3 linked regions of the Oreochromis niloticus genome follow. The protein of the gene in region 3 purifies or fractionates together with the protein of the main gene of each other region. This does not show direct contact. Links are inferred from orthologs where the notes say so. Each region holds a gene or a part of one and is shown on either strand. Other genes may lie near its edges. The genes, in order: orc3, orc4 and lrwd1.

What was found.
Region 1: the proteins of lrwd1 (region 3) and orc3 purify together in Homo sapiens (affinity purification with mass spectrometry; 4 studies listed by BioGRID and IntAct, with this or other methods). This does not show direct contact. The link is inferred for Oreochromis niloticus from reciprocal best matches to the Homo sapiens genes LRWD1 and ORC3.
Region 2: the proteins of lrwd1 (region 3) and orc4 purify together in Homo sapiens (affinity purification with mass spectrometry; 3 studies listed by BioGRID and IntAct, with this or other methods). This does not show direct contact. The link is inferred for Oreochromis niloticus from reciprocal best matches to the Homo sapiens genes LRWD1 and ORC4.

What each region holds. Positions count from the first base shown.
Region 1 is NC_031983.2:13,549,286-13,556,218, reverse strand, and holds the start of orc3 (origin recognition complex subunit 3), read right to left. Parts: upstream 3,106-6,933; 5' UTR 2,976-3,105; coding exon 2,952-2,975; intron 2,846-2,951; coding exon 2,791-2,845; intron 2,695-2,790; coding exon 2,597-2,694; intron 2,214-2,596; coding exon 2,075-2,213; intron 1,908-2,074; coding exon 1,803-1,907; intron 1,714-1,802; coding exon 1,550-1,713; intron 1,466-1,549; coding exon 1,326-1,465; intron 1,198-1,325; coding exon 1,038-1,197; intron 584-1,037; coding exon 470-583; intron 353-469; coding exon 219-352; intron 32-218; coding exon 1-31. Other genes in the region: znf292a (zinc finger protein 292a), read right to left, coding at 4,649-6,933. UniProt on the Homo sapiens protein: Component of the origin recognition complex (ORC) that binds origins of replication. DNA-binding is ATP-dependent. The specific DNA sequences that define origins of replication have not been identified yet.
Region 2 is NC_031986.2:18,203,517-18,210,989, reverse strand, and holds the start of orc4 (origin recognition complex subunit 4), read right to left. Parts: upstream 3,048-7,473; 5' UTR 2,925-3,047; exon of another isoform or gene 2,855-2,924; intron 2,849-2,854; exon of another isoform or gene 2,592-2,848; intron 2,237-2,591; 5' UTR 2,220-2,236; coding exon 2,163-2,219; intron 2,069-2,162; coding exon 1,992-2,068; intron 1,124-1,991; coding exon 1,033-1,123; intron 929-1,032; coding exon 853-928; intron 760-852; coding exon 674-759; intron 579-673; coding exon 530-578; intron 437-529; coding exon 285-436; intron 201-284; coding exon 27-200; intron 1-26. UniProt on the Homo sapiens protein: Component of the origin recognition complex (ORC) that binds origins of replication. DNA-binding is ATP-dependent. The specific DNA sequences that define origins of replication have not been identified yet.
Region 3 is NC_031975.2:24,535,725-24,542,819, reverse strand, and holds the start of lrwd1 (leucine-rich repeat and WD repeat-containing protein 1), read right to left. Parts: upstream 3,027-7,095; 5' UTR 2,945-3,026; intron 2,936-2,944; exon of another isoform or gene 2,082-2,935; intron 2,076-2,081; 5' UTR 2,069-2,075; coding exon 1,989-2,068; intron 1,508-1,988; coding exon 1,273-1,507; intron 282-1,272; coding exon 162-281; intron 1-161. Other genes in the region: alkbh4 (alpha-ketoglutarate-dependent dioxygenase alkB homolog 4), read left to right, coding at 4,276-4,392, 4,688-4,876, 5,811-6,332. UniProt on the Homo sapiens protein: Required for G1/S transition. Recruits and stabilizes the origin recognition complex (ORC) onto chromatin during G1 to establish pre-replication complex (preRC) and to heterochromatic sites in post-replicated cells.

The sequences.
Region 1 (6,933 bases), on a different chromosome or scaffold from region 3:
CTGTTCCTGTGCTTCCTGCTTCTCTACATACCTAGCGAAACACACACATTAGAACAATTCAAAGTCTTACTTTCACATTTGAAAAAAGGTCAACACAAATACACAAATTAAAAACATGCTAAGACACCTACTATCACTTTTTGCAGCTAAATAAGTGCTGCATTTGCACTTTAGACTCACACACGTGGATGATTGGAGAAAGAAACAAGTTTGAGTACCTTTTGAACGACGGCAGCTGTCTTATCCTGTCCAAGTTGGGTTTGCTGAGCTGTGTGACGTTGAACAGAGCCTGCTTTTTCTTGCAACACAGAACACTGAGAGGCTGAGAGTGAAAGTGCTCGAGCAGAGCCAGCTGCACAAGGACCAAACAGAAACTTTAAACTCACATATTTCTGTATTTGAATTACACTTCAGGCAAGAAAGCAGGGGGATGACAGACTTGCGGAGACTGTTAGAGGATGCTCCATACCTGCAGTCCCTTAATGAAGTTTCTCACTGAGAAATCATGGTAGAGGAAGACACCAATGAGGACCTGCATCACTTTCCCGTTGAGTTTAAAGTGAATGCGTGATGCCAGGATCAACTGAAATAATAAAAGAAAGAAAATTTAACTACTTTTATTTAATTTCTTTACATCCTCCAGGCCACTGATCGTCTACAGTTAGGGTTAGTGTGACCGCTATGGCTCAAAAAGAAATGTATCCTTTTTGAGGCACTGAAATGGAAAACAGAAACTATTGTTATAAATGTAGGACACTTCATAATAAATGTACCATCTAATTCCTGAAAACGTGCCTCTTTAACCAGAGGCTGCTCGTCTGTAACCTGGTGTTGTCAGGAGGTTTAAAATGCAACTTACACTCAGGAAACCGCTTTTAAAAAGAAGATGTTGGATATGCTTAAGTATGCAACAGTCTTCAGATTGGAAAGCTAACTGTACACATGGACTCATAGATATCAGGAAGGTTTTCCCGTCTGGAGGATTGCACAGATCAGTGTTTTTATGTTTTTTTATTCTTTGGTCAGGTTGAACTTACCTTGTCAATGACTGTAGCCAGGTGTTGTGTGCATGACAGTGACTGGAAAAGCTCGATGCACAGCAGGGAGGACACGGAGTGGGGAAGCATGTGCTGGATGGTACTGGGTGATGTAGCGATCCCAAAGATGAAGGTCAGCGGTAGGCGGTCAATGTACTGACTGTGGAGCAGAGTTTGTTTAGCAGAGACTTGCCCAGCTTGCAAATCCAAAATGCATTATCAATGATTTGTGTATTATCTGCAGCCCTAAAAATAAGAAAGCGATTCAACTCAAGAGTCTTCATTTACCTGCAGATGAGGATGAAGTCCTGAAGAACTCTTGGGTTAAAAGCCTCCAAATCTTTGAAAATGATTACAACAGGAGGCTGCTGCTGCTCATCTCTGACTTGAGAGCTACGTTTTTTCCCTGGAGTACCAGTGGGAGATTTCTGAAAAAAATAAAATCATATATGATACATATCACTTACAATCCAAGTCTCTGTATGCACGCCAGCAGTGGTTTGTGCTCCCACCTTTGTTCTTGCAGTGTACCAATCACAAAGTATCCCGAGAGAGCAGTGCATGCTCCTATGGACCCGAGGGCTCGTCTCCACATTCTCCTCCTCATCTTCATCATCCACAACCACAACTGTATCCATCAACCGTTCGAGCACCTTCTTCATCAAATGCTTCAGTGCTGAAATCATAAACCAAACACATACCATTTAAAGCAAAGCCTATGAGGGGAGCACAAAATGATTTCTGACTGATCTCGAAACCCCTTACCTCCACACTCTTTGGCCTGCACAGAGGCCACGTGAGGGCTGACAGACTGCTTTAGCATGTCAGACAGACTCTGAAAGGTCATGTCGTGATCTGGGACGTTCACACCTAGAGTGGACATTAAAGGAAGTTCAGATTAGGTAGAGATGACAGCATGTAATGTAAATGCCTCGTTTCTACTAAAAATCTACTAATACTACATCATATGTAGTTGTGAGAGTCATACATGTTTTTTAACTCAAACATCAGATATTACTGCCTCATAACCAACATACCGAGCATTAGAGCTGCTGTGGGGATTTCACTGGCCCTCATCTGTGATGTCCAGTCACTGTTTTGACGTGTAGAGGAGCATTTCCTCGTGAAGTCCAGCAAACTGTCCAAGATTGTCCTGTTGAGTTCATCTTGTAAAACCTAAGAAGCAAAAAAGTACATATGAATGTATAATGTATTTGTATGTAGAAGATACAAAAACGGTCTGCTCAGTAAAAATCAAACCATGACTAAATTAACGACTTTTTTAAAAAAAAAAAATCATATTAATAGAGTACTCCAGAGGCATCTCCTGCTTTTGTCACTATATATTCAATTTTACAACACTATAAAAGCACGCTTGCATATACAACATTAAAGCCATGTGTAGTATGAAGAGTCGTGCATAAATATGCATGTATACAATAAAAACTAGAGGCAGTTAACTGTTTTCTCAGTTTTATTAACTTTACTTTGAGCACATATTTTCTTCTTGGGACAGAAAAGTCTACTTTCTGGCCTTCCTGCTGAACATCTGTCCTCACCTCTGTGTCTGTTTTGATTTCGTCCCACAGTTCCTGACATAACCTGAATCGTATTTCACTGCTCTCAGCATCCTCGCATCCCTGAACGAAGTAACTCTCTGTGGCGAAAAAACATGACATCAGCAACTTAATACCACTAAATCCACCCGACAGCTCGGGAAGACAAATCTTGTATAAACACTCGCGTATCTCACCCAGACTGAGAGTCTTCTTCTTTTTCTTAGCGCTGGGCTTGAAAACAAAGCAGCCCTAAAAACGTTGACAAATAGTCTCATTTAACATTGTATGACGACTGCCAGTAAATTAATAAGTTTTAATCAAACATGCATGAAGCACAACATATATAAGACTTTACCTTTGACACGGATGAAGTAGCCATCTTTCGCTACACGGGTCCGCAGTGAATAGCCCGGCCTGTACCCTGAGCTGGAGGTCCTATGTGCATTTAAAATGACGGATGCCTGTAGCCTTGCTGGGTATCTACTTCCCGCCAAAGTGACGTATACGGAAAGGGTTGTGTTCAGCTGATAAACAGCTTCAAGCGTGAGTTCATACTTTTGTCAAGTTGTTTTAAGTTATGCAACCACAACCCACTTTTCAAAACTAACATTAAATTACACCAGATAAATAATTTAAAAGAAGGAACGAAAGCTTTTTTCCCGTTAGATCACTGCTGTTAACGCTTTCTAACATTGCTGATCTTGAACGTTCCCCCAAAGCATCTCCGGTGTCCCGTTACTGTCCTTCAGGTCCATTTTGCGTTACAGCTGGCAACTCTTAAAATAATGACGCAATAACAATCATAAAGCTCTATTACAGCCATTTAAGTCTCAAATCAGTGCATACCTACTTCTTCATATATATATATATAGTTTTTTTTAGCTGAGTTAATTCCCATTGTGCATTGTGTGGAGGAAATATGTCGCAATAAATTAAAGTTTTAGATAACCTTAAGAAAAAATATGTAAAAACAAGCCAAAAATGCATGCACAAGCCCCCTGAATGAACAGTATGTTTAATTATAGAAATAAGCTCAATATATTATTTTTTTTATGTTAAAATGTACTTTTCCATGAACTATGGAGGCTTATTTCTGCAAAAAAAGAAGAAGAAAAGCAAGCAGAGCTACGTCAATTTTCATCATATCGTTTCAAAATTTAGTTTCTGAGCAAGTTGAAATTGTGAAGTTTGAATGGGGGAAAATTTGAGAGAAAGAAACAAGCTTCCATAATATGTTTTAATATGCAAGTATGTTTTAATGCACTGATTTATTTATACTATTGACATTTTTCATGTCAGTATGCCCAATTTAAGGTGTTTTAAACTGACATTAGGTCTACAACTTTAGTTGTGTAGATTGCTGGCATTCCCTTTATGGAAAAAGTTTCAAAAACTGTACATTTTCCAGGCTCCTTTGGGAAGCTTTGTGTCCACAAATATGAAAAGTTTCCACATCTATTCAGTTACTCACAACAACCTTTTCCCACCATATTCCAAGTTTCCATATATTATATCATTTAAAACCGAATCATGTGCATAATTTCACAGCGGCATTGTGCGTAAACAAAGCTACTGTAAACTATATAAGTTAGAACAATAGAAAGTGTGCAGTCAGTATGTTATAAAAAGAACCAGTAACATTTTATTGAACACTTTGTGGAAGACATGTAAATATTACAGATAGGTCTACTAGTGTTGTAAAAGGATGAAATAAATACAAACAGAACTTGAAATCCCATAGGGATATATAAAAACATAGTTTTCTTTAAAAGTCTCCATTTAGCAAAAGAAAAAAAAACATCTTCAGTACTAAGCATAAATACAAACATGTTTCTAAAATCTATGCCCTATAGATTACCTGGTTATTATAACTAACATACATACTTAAAATCATCCGAGACGTTATTTCATTAGGTACAAAATAGGCCTTTTTTTTTCATTAAGTGTGACCATGACTGTTAACAGTTGGAAATTTGATGCATTAACAAACCATTCTGCAGCATAACTTCTCAAATCCTGAGTAAGACTGAGCTGAAAACAAAAAATATCGGGTTATGATCCGCTATAAATCCACTTTTTTATTATGACTATGGGCCGCATGTCTTGTAGCTGCTTTAGCAAAAGATCAGCGCCATCTGATAATGTTTTATCCATGACTATCTTAACATTACTCACTGATTGGAGATTGAGGGGGTTTCTGAAGTCTACAAGACTCTCACAACCTTTCAATTCATCAGCTGCTTTACTTTTGGTTGCAGATTTCTGTTTGTTAGTGTGTTGTCTTTTGGAAGGCAGTTCAGCACTAGATTTATCATTTAATTTGCGTTTGGAAGAGTTGGTCGACTCTGAGGTTTCCAAGAACTTAAGAAAGGAGTCCTCAAGTCCTAACGGCTTGAAAGACGCTGACATAACCCCGTCATCACGTTGTTCTTGGGCTGCAGGGGTACCAGGATTTGAGTTCTCTCTTGAACTGTTAACAGTCGTGCGGTTCCTAAGGGTTTGTATCCTCTCCGGACAAGCTGGTGTGGGATGTGCAGGTTTTCTGGGACGGCCTCTTTTAATTCCTCCTTCTGTCCCAGTGGAAGCTTGAGATTCTGCACTATCGTCGTTGGACAGCTTGCTGTCCTCTTGGACTATTTTTTCTACCGATTCATCAATTTTCTGGTCACTGGGCTTTTCAACTTCTTCTGGCTCCATGTCCTCAGAAGATGAAGCTGACGTGCCCTCTGCTTTGTTTGCATCTTTGCATCTGGCGCGTGAGTATTTTTTGCAGAAAATGAACTGGCTCCTCTGATCTTCAATGTATCTCTCTGTGAGGCCATGTGTGGTGTAATGCTTAAATATATTTCTTTCAGCAGACTCCACTGCATCGCAACCTATGATCATGCATGGGTACTGCAGCGAGGACTTCTTGGTGCACATGGCCGATGCTTCTTCGTGAGATTTTAGTGTAGGCTTTCCAAAACTAGTCCAGTGTTCAATGGACTTTCCATCTTTCTTTTTAGTGTTTTTCTTTTTCACTCTGAATTTGCTTTCTACGTTCTCTTTGCCATTGTTAACCCCTGGGAAGAGCCCTACCGATTTAGTCCTTCTTCCATCACTTATTTTGGGGTCATAAATATAGTCGTGCTTTTTGATGAGGTGACGGAGCAGGTTTGACTTTGTAGTGTACACTCGGTCACATCCATCGTACTCGCACCGGAAAGTTGGATCAACGGAGCCGCTCTCAGAAATGGCGATTTCCTTGTGGTAATTCTTAATGTGCTCAATGTATTTTTCCACAGAGCTGAAGGGGAGAGCACACTCTGGCCGGTCACAGTTAAAAGTTCCTATGCTCATACTGGCCATCATGGCGGTGGCTTTGTCACGGGTGAACTTGTGTAGTAAGAGGTAATGTTGCACCAGCCGTGTGATTCCCATGAACACCCTTGAGCAATTTTTCACTTGACACCTGACTTCATTATCTTTTTCTATGGTCTGATCGCTCTCCTGTCCGGTATTAACGCTGGTCTTTTCAGCTTCAGTTTCACCTTCAGTTTTGTTAGGGGGCAGGGATGCCTGATGCATGGCCTTGTAATGGAGTATCAAATTGTGCTGGATGGTGAATGCTGCAGTGCATCCCTCATGAACACAGCGATAAGGTCTGTACGGACTGTAGGCATTGTCTGCGTCAAACATTTTGAGGCTTAACCTCTTCTGAAGTTTCTCCTTTTTCTCCTCCTTTGTTGGTGTGCTTTTGGAGCTGCTGGGTTTTTCAGGAGACGATGAAGGAGATGAAGGCGGAGACTTTAGCTGTTTCACTTTGCTCGGGCTCACGGCTAATTTTCCTTGCGGCACTTTTGCTTTGCCAACGGGACTGAGTTTCTCTTTCAAACTGGATTTCAGTGTCATTTCTGGACTGTTGTTAATAACAGCCACTTTAGGTTCCTCTGGAGCTTTTTCAGGAGCAGGTTGTGCCACTTCCTCAAACGGCCTGTCAGTCAAGTAGTTTTGAGGTGATGGTAGTCGTGTAACAGTCAATACCTCAGAGGTCACGCTTTGCTTTGACACGTCTTCTGGAGTGATCTGAGGAACGTCTAGATTGTTGGCAGCGTCTGGTTGAGGTGCAATTGCAACATCAAGTGGTTCCTGTTTTATAGCAGGAGTTACAGGTGCAGACTTTGCTATCTGGCTGCTACTGACATCGGTGTTTGGACGTTTAATAACTGCATCAGCTTTGTTAAGTCTAAATGCACGTCTATTTCTAGCACTAATTCTAAGCTTCTGCATTTCTGCCTTTGACAATCGATGGACTTTTTCATAGTGAATTCTCAACCCTGTCGTTCTTGTAAATGTTT
Region 2 (7,473 bases), on a different chromosome or scaffold from region 3:
ACTTTGTGTCTGCCTGCTAGCTTCACCTTTACACCAGCGTTCCACTCCTGAGCGAACTTCTTGTCAGGAAAGCTGTCCGGCAGGCTGAGTTGCGTCCAAACCCGTTCCAGGTACTGGGTGAAGTTGAGGCTGCTCAGCAGGTGGATCTGACGGTGGGAAAACCGCGACTTCACCCGCTTCTCCAGCAGCTCCAGAACATCCTGAATGGAAAAAGAATCACAACACGTATTAAAAACACCTACCATTATCTAAGTAGCGTTTCTGAGAGGTATTCTGAGGCCCACCAGTCTGCAGGTGACGCCAACCACGGCGATGGGAGCCTGGGCGGACTGTGAGACGTCAAACAGGTTGTAGAGCAGAGTCTGGTTCTTGTGGTGGGCGAATAAGTCGAACTCATCCAGGACAAACAACACTGGGCAGCTACTGCTGCGATTGCCTTTTAGGATTAAAAAACAAAACAAGAACAAAAAAAAACATCAAACCTGCCCCTCTAGTCTGAAATCAGCTTTAAATATTTGAATTTTCTCACCTTTTTTTAATGCCTCCAGGAGGAAAGCCAGATTTTCAGCAAAGCTTCCCTAAGGAAAAAAAAAAAAAAAAAAAAAAGGTAGAAAGATTTTTGTAGGAGTTTTCAGAGCTGAAAATGTTAATAACAGTCTCTCTTAATACTCACAAACACTTTGTCTCCAACAACGTTTTCCAGGTGGAGCTGTCTGGTTATTTCTTTCAGCGCTATTCTGTCATCAGTCTGCAGGAGACCTGCAGCAAACACACAAACCCATCCATCCAATTCAGATTTCCAGCAAACGTGTGGGTTCTTAAATTGTGAGGAATTTAAATGAGGTTTGGCACCATTGAGGTGAACCTGAAGAAGGTTCTTCTGCACCTTCTCCTCTTTCTGCAGGTCTCTCAGCACGCACTGCAGCAGCTTCAGGCACAAAAACACAAACCTCACAGGATTCACAACAAGTCCATACTTTTAAAAAATTATTTAAATTTAAAAAACACAAATTCATTTTTTCCACGGCTCACCGTCGTTTTCCCTGCTCCTCTGGGACCCACGATTAGCACAGAATTACTCTCCCCGTGGATCGCCGTCCGCCTCAGCAGCTCCAGGAGGTGTCTGCAAACACAATGGCTTTAACTACAATACCCACAATGCTTAGTAAAATTTACACCCCCATCTCCTGCTTCTAATGAGTGGAAATCTCTCACTGGGGAAGCTCGTGTTGTGGCCGAGTCGGCCAGGAAACTGGGACAGAGCTGTCACCCAGGTGCGACTGAACTGGGTCACTGAAACTCACACCGAGCTCCAGGTCTGCTCTTAATTATAGATGACAGTTCTACTACAGGCCTTCTAAACCATCCAACACCTGTAGGAACTGAAGCCGAAACAAAAACAAACACCCTTCACAGCTTATTTGCCTTTCCCAAACACTTAGGACAAATTATTCATGGTTTTATTTTCACAAGGCCAGATTACAACAGATTCCTCCTCTCCTGTATAAACAGTAAGGTTGGAATGGCCTCGAACTTTTAACCTTTTACTGATCACTAGTAAAGGTACCTTTCATAATTACACCCTACATACTGTTACTATACGTTTCACCACAGTGGGCAGTGTTTTACCAGTCAGTGTGTTTTCACATTTTTAAGCCTCTTTCCAGACCTCCACTTTAAACAAGAATGTGTTTTCAAAGGACAACCATAACGAAGTCACAATGCGCACACACACACACACAGACACAAACACACAGCTTTGACAGCGCCAGAAACGCCCCGAGGATTAAAACAGGCCGATCCGGTTGAAGCTATGAGGCAGGAACCTGTGCCAGTCATTTCTCCAGTTTCTTTTCTCGCACTGATTGTCTTGTTTCTTATTTTAATATCCAACTTTGTTTGAATTTAACGTTCTGATTTTCTCCGTGATTTTCTTGTTGACATTATTATAAAATCACCTCTATCCACAGGCCCTGCTGTTATGAACTTACTTGTACTGAGCTTCTACTCCCTCTAGTCTGTCAGGGAGCCGCCTCTCACAAAATCGCTCCCTTAAAATCTGCTGAACCTGCACAGAAACATGTATTATAAATAAACTACATTTTATTAGGTATATTTCAGAGTATGACACTGAAAAACTCACTGGCTGTTCATACACACACCTGTTTGATGCATTCCCCTACAGGCAGATGAGCATCTCTGGCCTTCCTCTTACTCATGATGATGTGACTGTCAACTGCAAAATGTGAAAAAGTGGGAAAACAGGTCAACTTCAACATGCCACTAAATTCATTTATCAGGGGGATAATACTGACACTTTACATTGCCGTTAGGTGTCAATTAAATGCACCAACATGGTGGAAACAACGGTTTTAATTCCAATAAATAACACCTTTTTTTTTTTTAGTTTAAGCCAAATGTAAGACTAATAATCACCAAAACGAAATCACATCGCTTCAGGACATGTTTACAGTTGTGCTGTAACCAATGTTAGGGTCGATAACAGGTGAAGATAAAACAATTTAATTCGGTATACAGCTGATGCAACAATAACACTCTATCTCATAGCTGCCTTTGACTGCTTAACTTACAATTTGGTCAAAAAATGAATGTCTAAATAGATTTTATGTATGCCGAATTAGAAAGCGACTCATAAGTGTGAGAATCCGTCTCGGGCTGCATTCAAGGCTGAGATCATATCCGCCGACAAGTCAGGAGAACACAAAATTGGCATTTTTACAACAGAACCTCGGTGCTACACGCTTGCGACGCAACCCAGGGCTTTACTCGAAGATCTGCTCGCTAAAAGCGTGCTGAAGAAGCACGAATGTTTTCCATTTCTAACTTTGATTACTTCTACCGTTGTGTAAGACAGGTGTCAGCTAGTCGAGCTTCTTTTCACACACACATCAGAACAAACATACCGGGAGCAACGATGAGACGCCTCAATCTTCGCGGGAATACTCCTCTGCCAGCGATGACGACTTCCGGCTTTGACTATATCTGCTCTCTGATTGGCTGTGACTCAGAGCAGCGCTGTGGTTGTGGAATTATATTATTCACACACATACGCACAAATAAAATAATAACAAATAAAAAATGATTTAAAAGAAAAACATGACATATGATAATGTGCAAAAGTCAACAATTGTGTTTTTTTATATTTTGTTACCAAGTAGACAGACTTTGTTCTATTGTTTTCAAAGTGGTCTTGAGCAGTAGTTCTTGAGGCTTCCTGAATGTCTTTGAACGTTTTTCTTTGGATATCGGCTGCTTTTTCACTTATTTTCTGCTCAGTCCTTGTCCCTGGCCAATCTTTTGCTGGTTAAACCACTATGAATCATTGAAGCGTAAAAAAGACAACCACAACCACAAAAACACATCATTTGTTCTAATGTCTTTAGTTGGATCTATGAAAAATGTCAAAGATTACACAGTTTGACAGACATTAAACAGTATTTTTTGTACTAACAAACGTGATTCCTAAAAGCTATTAGCTGAAAACTTGGCATAGCACAACATGGTGTGCAGTCTGCCCTCAAAAAAATCTGAGGAAGCTGGAGAAGTGGAGGGCTAAAGAGCTGTCAGCCTTCAAAAACCATCTACATCAGATGAACAGTATCTGAAAATCATGTCCTTAAAAAACATGAAAGAATCCAGTAAAGAGCTGACACAGAACCATCTACTGTTCACTGAAGCCTCATCAGAAATGGGCTCAAGTAGAGATTTAGATTTGAAGCTATGTAAGCACAAAGCTATTCAAATATGTCAATACTATTAACATAAATCCACAACAATTTAAGTCACGTTGTGATTTAATAAAAGTATTAGCAGTAAAGAAGACATTGCACAGAGGTTATATTTGAATTTGAATATTTGAATAACCCATTCAGGTGTGTACAGACTTTTGAACTTGTTTAAAAAATATATAAATTAAAATGACAAAATATTATTTTATTTTCAATTTCAATTTCAAATACAATATTTTTAATTTGTTATTATAACAAATGACACATCCTTGTCTTGAGGGCAAAAGTTAAAAACAATGTGTCTTTTTATGCTTTTTATGAATTTTACATGAATAGGATTTTATTTGTTGAATTTTATATACATTTTATTCTTGAATTTGATCCTGCGCATTTCCGTTCTACAGCATTTACTGGCTATGAAATGAAAACAATATGATATTATATATAATATATTATTCACAATTCAAGTTTTGTAGATTACATTTTATGTTATTTTTGTGAAATTAAAATAACAGGATGCTCTTAAGAGATTTTACATCTGCATAAATGCTAAAAACAAGTCATTTTGGCCAGTTGCTATAGGTGGTTGCTAGGCAACATGATGGCATCATAACATTTGACATAGATAAGAACCTTCAGGTGCCTAAGACATACTTGTGTGCCAAGTTTGGTTGCGCTGCTTGTGATCATGTAGGAGGAGTTGGTAGACAAAGAAATGAACACACAGATTTTCTGTGTTATAGTAAGATATATAAGAAATAGTCTGTCGGCACTGAGAAAGACTACAATTATGTGTAATTATATATACGTTTATTTGTGAAACTATAACAGCCACTTCTGCTCTGGTTTGATAAAATTAGGAGGGATGGCTCATGTGAATGGCTAAAAGGCCGCCTGCATAACAGCATCTTTTACTCACTGAAGCTCTGGAGACACTTAAACGCTTCCTGCGGCTTTTTGGTTGACTGATGAAAAGGAAAAAAAAAAGACACAGCAAACCGCCAGATATCTCGCAAATCGTCTCCCGCTCTCCGCTCACATTTAGCCTGTCACATTATTCTAAAATACGACCCTCCGCTCGCACATTCAGCCCTCTGTGTTTGCCCTTAAAAATACATGAAGCGCTCCTTCCTTCAGCAGCCCTACGCTGAATTCATTTAACGTCTCCTCGGGTTTGACCTTCACACAAAATTCAGGCGTTTGCACCCTGAGCTGCATCTCGTCCTCGCTTCAGACGGCTGAGCTCATGTTTTCTTCAGCTTTTATGACCTTTATTTATCTCAGGAAATTATTTTGCTGAGTGTCTGTTTTTGCTCCACTGCAACTTTGTGTTGTATTTTTGTAGTTTTTGTGCGCGCAGCCAGTCAAAATTAACCTTAATGAGTGTCATCTTGTTCATAAATATGAATAGTTTAGTTTCTGCTAAAAGATGTTCTTGTAATTAATCATTATCATTGCAGTTTGTAGCTTATGGTGTTAAACGCTTATCAAATTACACTTCATATACAGTATTTAACAAAGTACCTGTAAGGTACTAGCAAAATAACTGGTAATGGGATTGTTTTTAATTAGATGGTGACTTTTTTTCTAACCCTGTGAGTCCACATATTCTGAGTTTCAGTATGTAGCCATTGGCTTCTGATCATTTTAGTACATTGTGCTTAATATGTAAAGACCACCTTTTATTTTTGACAAAGTAAGACATGGTAATGATAACGTTACAAAAGTTAAAACTTCTGTAAGGGGTCTTTATGTAAGCTTACCTTCTGCAACAATGACCCTTCCCCCTACCCCCAAAAAAGGAAAAGGAAAAAAAAAAGTTGTACTAAATTAATTTCCTGTCACTTTTTCTACCTTTTAGAATTAATCAAAGTCATTATTCGGCATTAACTCAAACTATTTTGCAGATCAAGTCAGCAGAACTTAAAGATCACTGTGTTCATTTCTACTGTTTCTGATGTGAGCCAGTCATGTCCTCCTGTGAACCAGCCTATTCATTTATGTCCTCTGTAATGGACATTTGTTTTTGGTTTATATCTTTTGAGTGATTTGAGATTCTTAAAGTCCTGATGTACTAAATAAAGGACATCCTAGGCTTTCCACTGATATCTCATGTGTTTGAGTGGCCTCTTTTAGCTCCAAAGAGGAAAGGACTCACACATATCCTTTTGCCTTGTCTTGATTCTGCCTTGCACAGATTCAAAAAGGTGATGGAATTGTTCCTCTGAGATTTTGGTCCATGATGACATGACAGTATCACACATTTGCTGCAGATTTGTTGGCTGCACATCCATGACATGAATCTGCTGTTCCACCACATCCCAAAGGGGCTCTACTGGATTGAGATCCGGTGACTGTGGAGGCCATCTGAGTACAGTGAACTCAGTGAACTCATTGTCATGTTCAAGAAACCAGGTTGTGATGATCTGAGCTTTGTGACATGGTGTGTTATTATGCTGAAAGCAGCCATCAGAAGATGGTACACTGTGATCATAAAGGGATGGACATGCTCAGCAACAACGCTCAGGTAGGCTGTAGAGTTTCAATGATGCTCAGGTGGTACTAAGGACCAAAAGAGTGCCAAGAAAATATTCCCCACACCGTTACACATCCAACACCAGCCTGAACTGTTGATACAAGGCAGGATGGAGCCATGCTTCATGTTGTTTACACCAAATTCTGGCTTGATCCTGAATTGTATTAGTGTAAGAAAGTGGATGGATGTAATCAAAGTATACAGAAGAGCATCTCTGAACAGGCAACATACTGAATGTTGATGGAGATGGTCTACAGCAGCAGAAGATCATAGCAGGTGACACTGCTAAGAACAGGAAACTGAGGTTACAGCTCATCAGAAATGACCACAGCCTACCCATCTTCCGTCAAAGACAAAGTGCAGCCTGTCGGTCCTCGCCTAAACTCAGTTAATTAGACTTAACCAACTAACCTAACCCCATACCTGTTTTTGGACTTTGAAGAAAGGAGTTTGCATCTAGTCCAGTGGATGAATCCAACCTAGGAGCCTCTTGTGAGGTGACAGTGCTGATGACTGCACTGCCATGGCAGCCTTCCTTGGTTATAACAAGTGTCTTGTCGTGCTTGTTATATTGATTATTGTTTGAAATTGTCTAGTTTTAGTTGAATTTTTAGTAGTTTCAGTTTTGCTTTGCAAAGTCAGCTGACTTGACATCTTGATACCCAATAAACATCTCCATGAAAGCCTCGTTGGGGTGTTTGTGTTGTGAATGCGTCCAAACTGACAGAAAGAGTGAAAACTGTATATGAAATTTATATAACTAATTGTTAAGGTTTGTTTTAGTACTTAATATAATCATGCCACAGTCATACAGTGTTATTACTAACAAGTTGCCTCTAAGTCATTTTTCTGCAAGTAAATTCAACATTATTTATTTGTAATACAAAAAATCAGACGTTTTTAATAGGATTTGTGTGTGTGCACACATCACCATCCTGTCTGTAAACACAATAACTTCAAAAGTTGTGAATGAATTCTGATAAAACGTTGTATGAGTGTAGAGTGGGGTCATGTTAACAATCCACTCAAATTTGGCTTACATCCACCAAGGTTTTCAAGGTCAACTCAATGATGTATTGGTGGAAAATTGACTAAAAGCCTTATAACTTTGAAACTATGATGTGTAGTGTCAATCTAGTCAACATATATTACTAGTTTTATTAATGAATATTCAATAATCATCAATTT
Region 3 (7,095 bases):
AAACGACGTATTGCCACATCTGTGCCAAAAATATCTTTGTTCAAAACAACAGCTGCTAAACATCATTTTTTGGTGCATGTTATGACTTTGTACAGTATCAAATGCAGGAACATTAACACCAATACCATGAAGTAGAGCAAAATAAGCCATTAGTTCCATACCCTGGTCCTCAGATTATCACTGTAGACATAACGCAAGTGGTTGGCAGAAGTACTGACATCTTTACCGCTGTAAATCCTCAGATTGGGCAGCAACACCATCAGCTTGTAAGTGTCACTCACCTGATAACCAAAAGAAACGTTAACAATTAAGTCAGTGTGGCGGCATTTTATGATGAAGGGACCTAAAAAATGACTGTGTGCAGTCTTTCTGTGAACGCTTTCCTTTCAAACGTACTGTACATTTGATGTGACTGTGCAAATGTGGAGGACACTGGAGATCACAGCAAAAAAGGAAACAAGTTTATAGTTCAGAATTATTATATAATTACTCATTCTGATTACTGAGCTGACAAAGATCTTATATATTTGTTGTGTACACTTTTGTGAGCTCAGACTGAACCTACCGGCTATTCGATCTTGTTTATGAGTGGCAGCCAATCAGAAGCAAAGGATGAAAATGAGCGGAAACCATTTTTAAAAGAATTTCTCTGCTAATAATACAGTTTTCATTGGGGTACTGGGATAATAGGAATGCAGGGATGTGTTTTGCTTTATCAAATGCATCACCTAGAAAAACAACCAGATCCTACAGAGTAGCAAGGATTTCCTTATTTCCATTTATGGTCTGCAGGATAGTGGGGGCTGAAACTGTGTCTCTTTCACAGTGGGGGAGAAAGGTTGGAACACAGTCTATCTTAGAGTTGACACAAAAGAGAGCCATTCACACCTACAGGACTTCATTTCACATCATCAGCATGTGTTTGTATTGCAGGTGATGCAGACAGAATACACAAACTCAGCAGACAAAGGCCTGAGCTGGCTGAGGAGTCAAACACAGGAATATTTTATTGTCATGACAACTGATGCAACGTGCTCCCTTGCAATGCTAACACTAATAATCAGCTGGTATGATCATTCAGCAATGTAGCCTGACTCAAATATTTCTCCATGAGCCAAGCCAGACAGCAGTAGGTGTAGAAGTATGTGATTTTATGAAATACTGATGACAAGTGTCAGTTATAACCTGTTCATGTATTTGCCATTTGTGCTGTAGCTGCAAAGAGTAACCCTAAAACAGGAGTGTAAGGAGAAAACAAAGCTATGTGCTCACAGTGATGTAGAGGTTGCCATCCATCCTCAGCTCTTCTACGTTGCTTAGGGAGTCCAGAGTGGTAACATCCTCGATCTGGTTGTCACTCAGGTCCAGGAAGCGAAGTGCAGGCAGCTCCAGGTTCTTGGGAAACTCCTGCAGCATGTTTCCAGAAAGATCTAACTTCTCCAGAGACTGGAGACGGGACAGCAGCTTGACAGGTAGATCCTGAAGCTTCAACCTCATCTTAGACAGACTGAAACACAAAGAGCACCAAAGTTAGTGTTTCCATGGGGTATGAAATAAAATTACATATGAAGCCGTTTAGTGATTATAGTATTACATCTATAATCATTTGTTTAAATATTATTGCATACACACAAATATCACAAAAGTATCAAAATATTTCCATTAATTCAATGTTTTATTCCAGTTTTTAAATAGCCAACTGCAAAATGTCTTTGAATATTAGGGCCTTATTGTTTATATGCACTCAGCATTGGCATAAATGTCATGGTCATTTAGGGCTTCATAATTTCCAGGGTGGAACGAATGGATACATTTTAATTACTTTAAAAAAAACAAGAATCATCATAAAAATACCATGACAAGCATGCCCATGATGAGTGGATGTAAACTTGTTACCACAACTGTAACTAAGCATTACCAGTTTACTTCAGTGCAACTTTAACAGCAAGACACCTACAGAGCATGATAAGGAGAAACAAAGTCCTTACTTCAAAGTCATGATTTGCTCCAGTTTGTTGGCTTTTGGAGAGGCTTTCTCCAGTAAAACTTTCTCAGTGATTTTTTCCATTGCTTATCTGCAGGAAGAAGCACAATTCAGGAGTGAAGATGGCAAACTGAAGATAGGGCTGAGATAAGTGTCCTCCTAGTTTATTTATATTGTCAATCCTGTTCTAATCACGCAACCAGAGCACCGCCCACATGGCCAAAACAAACTGACTACATCAAGGACTGAAACTCCGTAAAAGCTCTTTAAGAATATGATTAGATACAAACAATAGGATAAGAAAACATGAATTACAAACATGGTCTGTAACTGCTTTAGAAGGCCTGATTAGTAATCAGCACCACTGATCAGCTTCAAGAACAATGAAAATTCCTGTGGATGAGAAACGCTGTAGTACACACAAAGACTTAAACAAGTAGATTTGTGTTTAATATTATTACACAGATACTGTTTACAACTGAGCTTGTTCCACTTGTTTTAGCTGGTCTAATTACTCTTTTTTGGCATTTTTGGCATTTAGCAATTAAAATCCCCTCTTGCTCCTCAGCATGATTAATCTGTTAAAGAAATGGAAAATTTCCTCCAAAAACAGTTTACGATAAATAAGCGGCTATTCAACAATAACAGGCTAAATGCGATTTCATAACGCTCTATCCTTTAAGTAACGTTGTCATAACGTCTATATAGAGATCCATACTAAGGTGAGGAAGGATATTTCACGTAAAGAAGATGAGAAAGCGTTATATGATAATAAGTTTGAGTTTCTCCTAGCTAACCACGTTGGCAGTGCCGACAGCCGTATATATCTCTATATATTTACATTTCTCGGCTACAAACACAAATAACAATTATTGATTTAATTAGAGCAAGCGTTAGTGGTTTTGCTTTTGTTATTAAACAGCTTAAAACTTGTCAATATATGTGATTAATATCACTTACCAAACACTTGAGCGAACTCAAAACACTCTTGCTGAAACCGAGCTTTCCCGGGGAAACGTTACGTATATCCGGTGGGCGTGGTTTAAACAAGACATTGTTTTTTACAGCCTGGGTTTTGCTTGCCAGGGATTAACAACCTATGGCAATTGTACAATAACTTACTCATGGCCATTGATCAGTGTTCCTTGATCAGTGGGTTTTGGTCAGTGATTGTTGATCAATGGTCATGGGAATTTGCATAATTATGATTAAGGAACTGACCTCACAGCCCATTGTTCCTTCAGTGGGCTGGTTTCAGTCATTATGCAAATGTACTGTTTGTAAGGTTTGGGGAAACCTGCAGTCAGCTGAGACTGAAGAAGTCACTTGGATGAGTGACAAAACGTTTCTCCCACAAAATGCTACGTCCAGATGAACAGATTCAACTTTTGGAGAGGTACAATAACTTAGTTTTTATTATTATTACTTTTTTCATTTACGTTAAGCACATTGAGTTTACGTGTAATTAAAAGTGCTGTATGAATTAAATTGACATTGATTTAAAATTACATTATTTTAAGTTCTTTGGATCACAAAGAAGTGAAATACTATTGGCATTTCATTCCAAAAAGCCATCATCTGAATATTTTCTGCTTTTGTATAGTTCCAATGTTCCAAAACAAAAAAGGCAATATTCGTGTAATTTTTGAATGATTCAGTTGAAGTTGTGCCGTTAATCACCATGCAGAACATTTTCAGGATATGGTTCAAAAGAAAGGGTCTAGAACTGAAGAGTAGATTTTGCGGTCTGTAGCCCCTGAAATGCATTCATTCTGGCACTCCCAGTTTAGAGCAATGAACAATGAAGACTTTAACAGAACGGCAAGGAGGGGCAAGAGGTCTAGGCAGGGTGGCACTGAAGTATATGAAAATCTCCCATATGTAAACGGAGTCAACAAAATATCCACAAAAACACTTTAAAATGATTTATTGCATCATTATCTGTTCTAAGAAAACAAAGGCTATAAGAGGCTTTTGGAGTTGCCCCCAACTTTTTTAAGGCAGTCAGTCGTGAATGTTACTAGTGAACATTAACTAGTAATGTAGTTATGTTAATGGTTTTGGTTGTGAACCATAACTAGTTATGATACAAACACTACTTCCACTACTATGTTTTTTAAAATTATTATTAATATATATACATTTGTATTTTTTATATTCAGATATCAGTTTTCTTATTTGCTTCCTCCTTTAGCTCTGCTAACCCTGAAAATGCCCGCATTCTCCGCTAGCTGGCGATAGTTAAATGTTTTCGTTTGCTGCCACTTCCTGACACAAGAAGAAGATGCAGGATGATGGCTCCCGACACCAGTGACGACGTGCCTTCATGCGCTTGTAAAGGTGTCCGCCGGTGTCTCGTCTGCGAAGGGTTGAAAGAGAAAGTACAGCCGGAGGCGAGTGAATCAAAGGTACTGTTTTCCAACAGAAAACTGTTATATTGTTTTTATAACAAGTAAAAAAAATAATCAAATACTGCTAACAGCAGCGCACACAACAAGGTACGGGTGCCCTCGGAGGACATTCCATCCTTATTAAAGGGATATTACTGCGGTTATAAATGTGTGCCAACAGCGTTTGTCTTTATAACAAAAAGGCATTCACTACAAACTGTCAATTTCATCGCCAAAAATTATAATTCTAGGAATACATTTGCGTCACTGTATAAATAACGATGTTTTTCTGTTTATCTGTCTTTCTGTGAAGATTGTCCATCATTTCCTCTACGATCCTCAGTCGAGGCTCGCTGTTGGAAAAGATGCCCAGGCTGCATCCTTCCCCTTTTCTGGGGTCTTCCTGTGGGAGAACTTCATATCAGAAGAGGAAGAGAAGGAGCTTATATGTGCGATGGACCAGGATGTGTGGAAGGAGTCGCAGTCCGGTCGAAGAAAACAGGTTAGCATGTGATCAAATAAAAACAAACAAAACATTTTTGTTTAGACTATGATGAATAGAAGCGATTATTAGGGCTGTAAAGTCAATATAAGTGTCAGTCCGAGTTTACTCAGGTCATCAACATTGATTCACAGAGAGTTTGAGTCGTACCTCTCCATGCTGCCTTCAACACTGTTGATTGTTGATCGTGATATTTTAATTCAAAGGCTTCGTGATTCAGTTGGTTTAACTCGTTAGTTTCTCGATTGGGTTTCATCATGACTAAAGGGTAAATGTTTCTATGTGTCAGTTAATATTTTTAGAACTGCAGAAATAAACATTCTGTCATTGGTTACTTTTTAACCTTATCACTTAACTGATCTAACCTGTTCACAAATTATTAAGCTGCGTTGATGACATTAACTTGTGGATGTCTAGAATCTTTCTAGAAATGAATAGAGACAAGATAGAAAATCCAAAAAGTCAGAGACAGAGAAAATTTGTTCATATTTATTATCCCTTTCTGTGAAAAACGATGAACAAGTCAGGCACCTTGGGATCATTTTGGACTGTGGTCTCAGTTTTGATAATCATATTAATAAAATAGACAGAATTGCTTTCTGCTACTCAAAATATATATCAAAGGTTAGAAAATTCTTATCTCAAACTGACTCTGAAATTGGGCCATGCTTTCAGATCAAGCAGGTTAGATTACTGTAACACTCTTATTTTGTGGGTGGGACATGAGATGAATTACTACTGTTTTATATTGCCTTTAAATGTTGTAGAGCTACATAGCTTTTTTTATCTTTTATGGTAAGCATACTAAGTGTACCCATAATAAAATGTGCTATATAGATAACATTGTCGTCAATTCTATTTGATATATATAGTATGGAAAGTATATATACCGTAGTAATGGAGTGACCAAAAGCCTCCTCCAATATTGTTGCAGGACTTTGGCCCGAAGGTGAACTTCAAGAAAAGGAAAGTGCGTGTGGGTGGCTTCAGTGGACTCCCTGCTTTGAGCCATAAACTTGTGCTTCGGATGTATCAGGAATCAGCTCTAGCCGGCTTCCAGCCAGTGGAGCAGTGCAACCTGGATTATCATCCTGAGCGAGGTGCAGCCATCGATCCACACTTAGACGATTCTTGGCTGTGGGGGGAGCGCTTAGTCACCATTAACATGTTGTCAGACACTACACTCACCATGTCTCTGGAGCAGGGTCTGCCAGAGCTGGGACTAACAGGGGAGGTCCATGTAGCTGTGAACCTTCCTCGCAGATGTTTAGTAGTTTTATACGGCGAGGCACGGCATAAATGGAAACACGCCATTCACAGGAAGGACATTCATGTACGTAGAGTCTGCAGCACCTACAGAGAGCTATCTGCAGAGTTCCTGCCTGGAGGGCAGCAGGCAGACCTCGGAGCCCAGCTGTTGAATATCGCCTTGAACTTCCAAGGCTCTCCAGTTTAATCTAATTTGATGGATCCAGAGGGAGCTGCAATCTAAATCACTTGGACTTGTCTTAAACTGTAAAGATGTGTCCTTTGGACACCCTAGGGCTTGTTTGCTGGATCTGTGCCAGCTCCCCAAATAGTGAGCAGTGCTCACGAGGCTTGTGTGCATTAATTAGTTGAACATCTGCTGTGGTGCGAAGCCAAGCTGAAGTCGAATTGCTTTGGAAAAAATGTTGGGGGGAAATTGTGTTAAAATAGCTCCAATGTCATTATATTATTCCACCCCCACCCTCAGTGTTCTTTTTGTTTTATGACAAATGGAGAGAATAAAGCAATTTTTCCACGCACAGGGCGATCCGTGGTAACTCGCTAATGGAGATTTGCCGCGTTAATGTGGTTATGATGTTAACGTCATTTTAACGAGATTAACGCTGACAGCACTAATATAAATATATGTTTGTGTGTGTGTGTGTGTGTGTGTGTGTGTGTGTGCAGAGAGACTGACACAAACCTAATCTTTGACTTTGTGATGATAAGAACAAATCTTTGATGATAAATTGAATAGAGAATTATACACGTGTTGGGATTGAGGCTTTTTTTTTCTCTTTCAGAACTGCAATTATAATTGTTAAGATAAACATTTAACAGTAAAATATGACTTAAAACAAAATCAAATCTGATTGCAAAAGTGAATCAAAAGATCTGTCACCTGAAACAATCATGTGCAGCAGCTGCACATATCTGGCTTTGTTGAATCAGCAGTGGCTGCGAGTCATTTT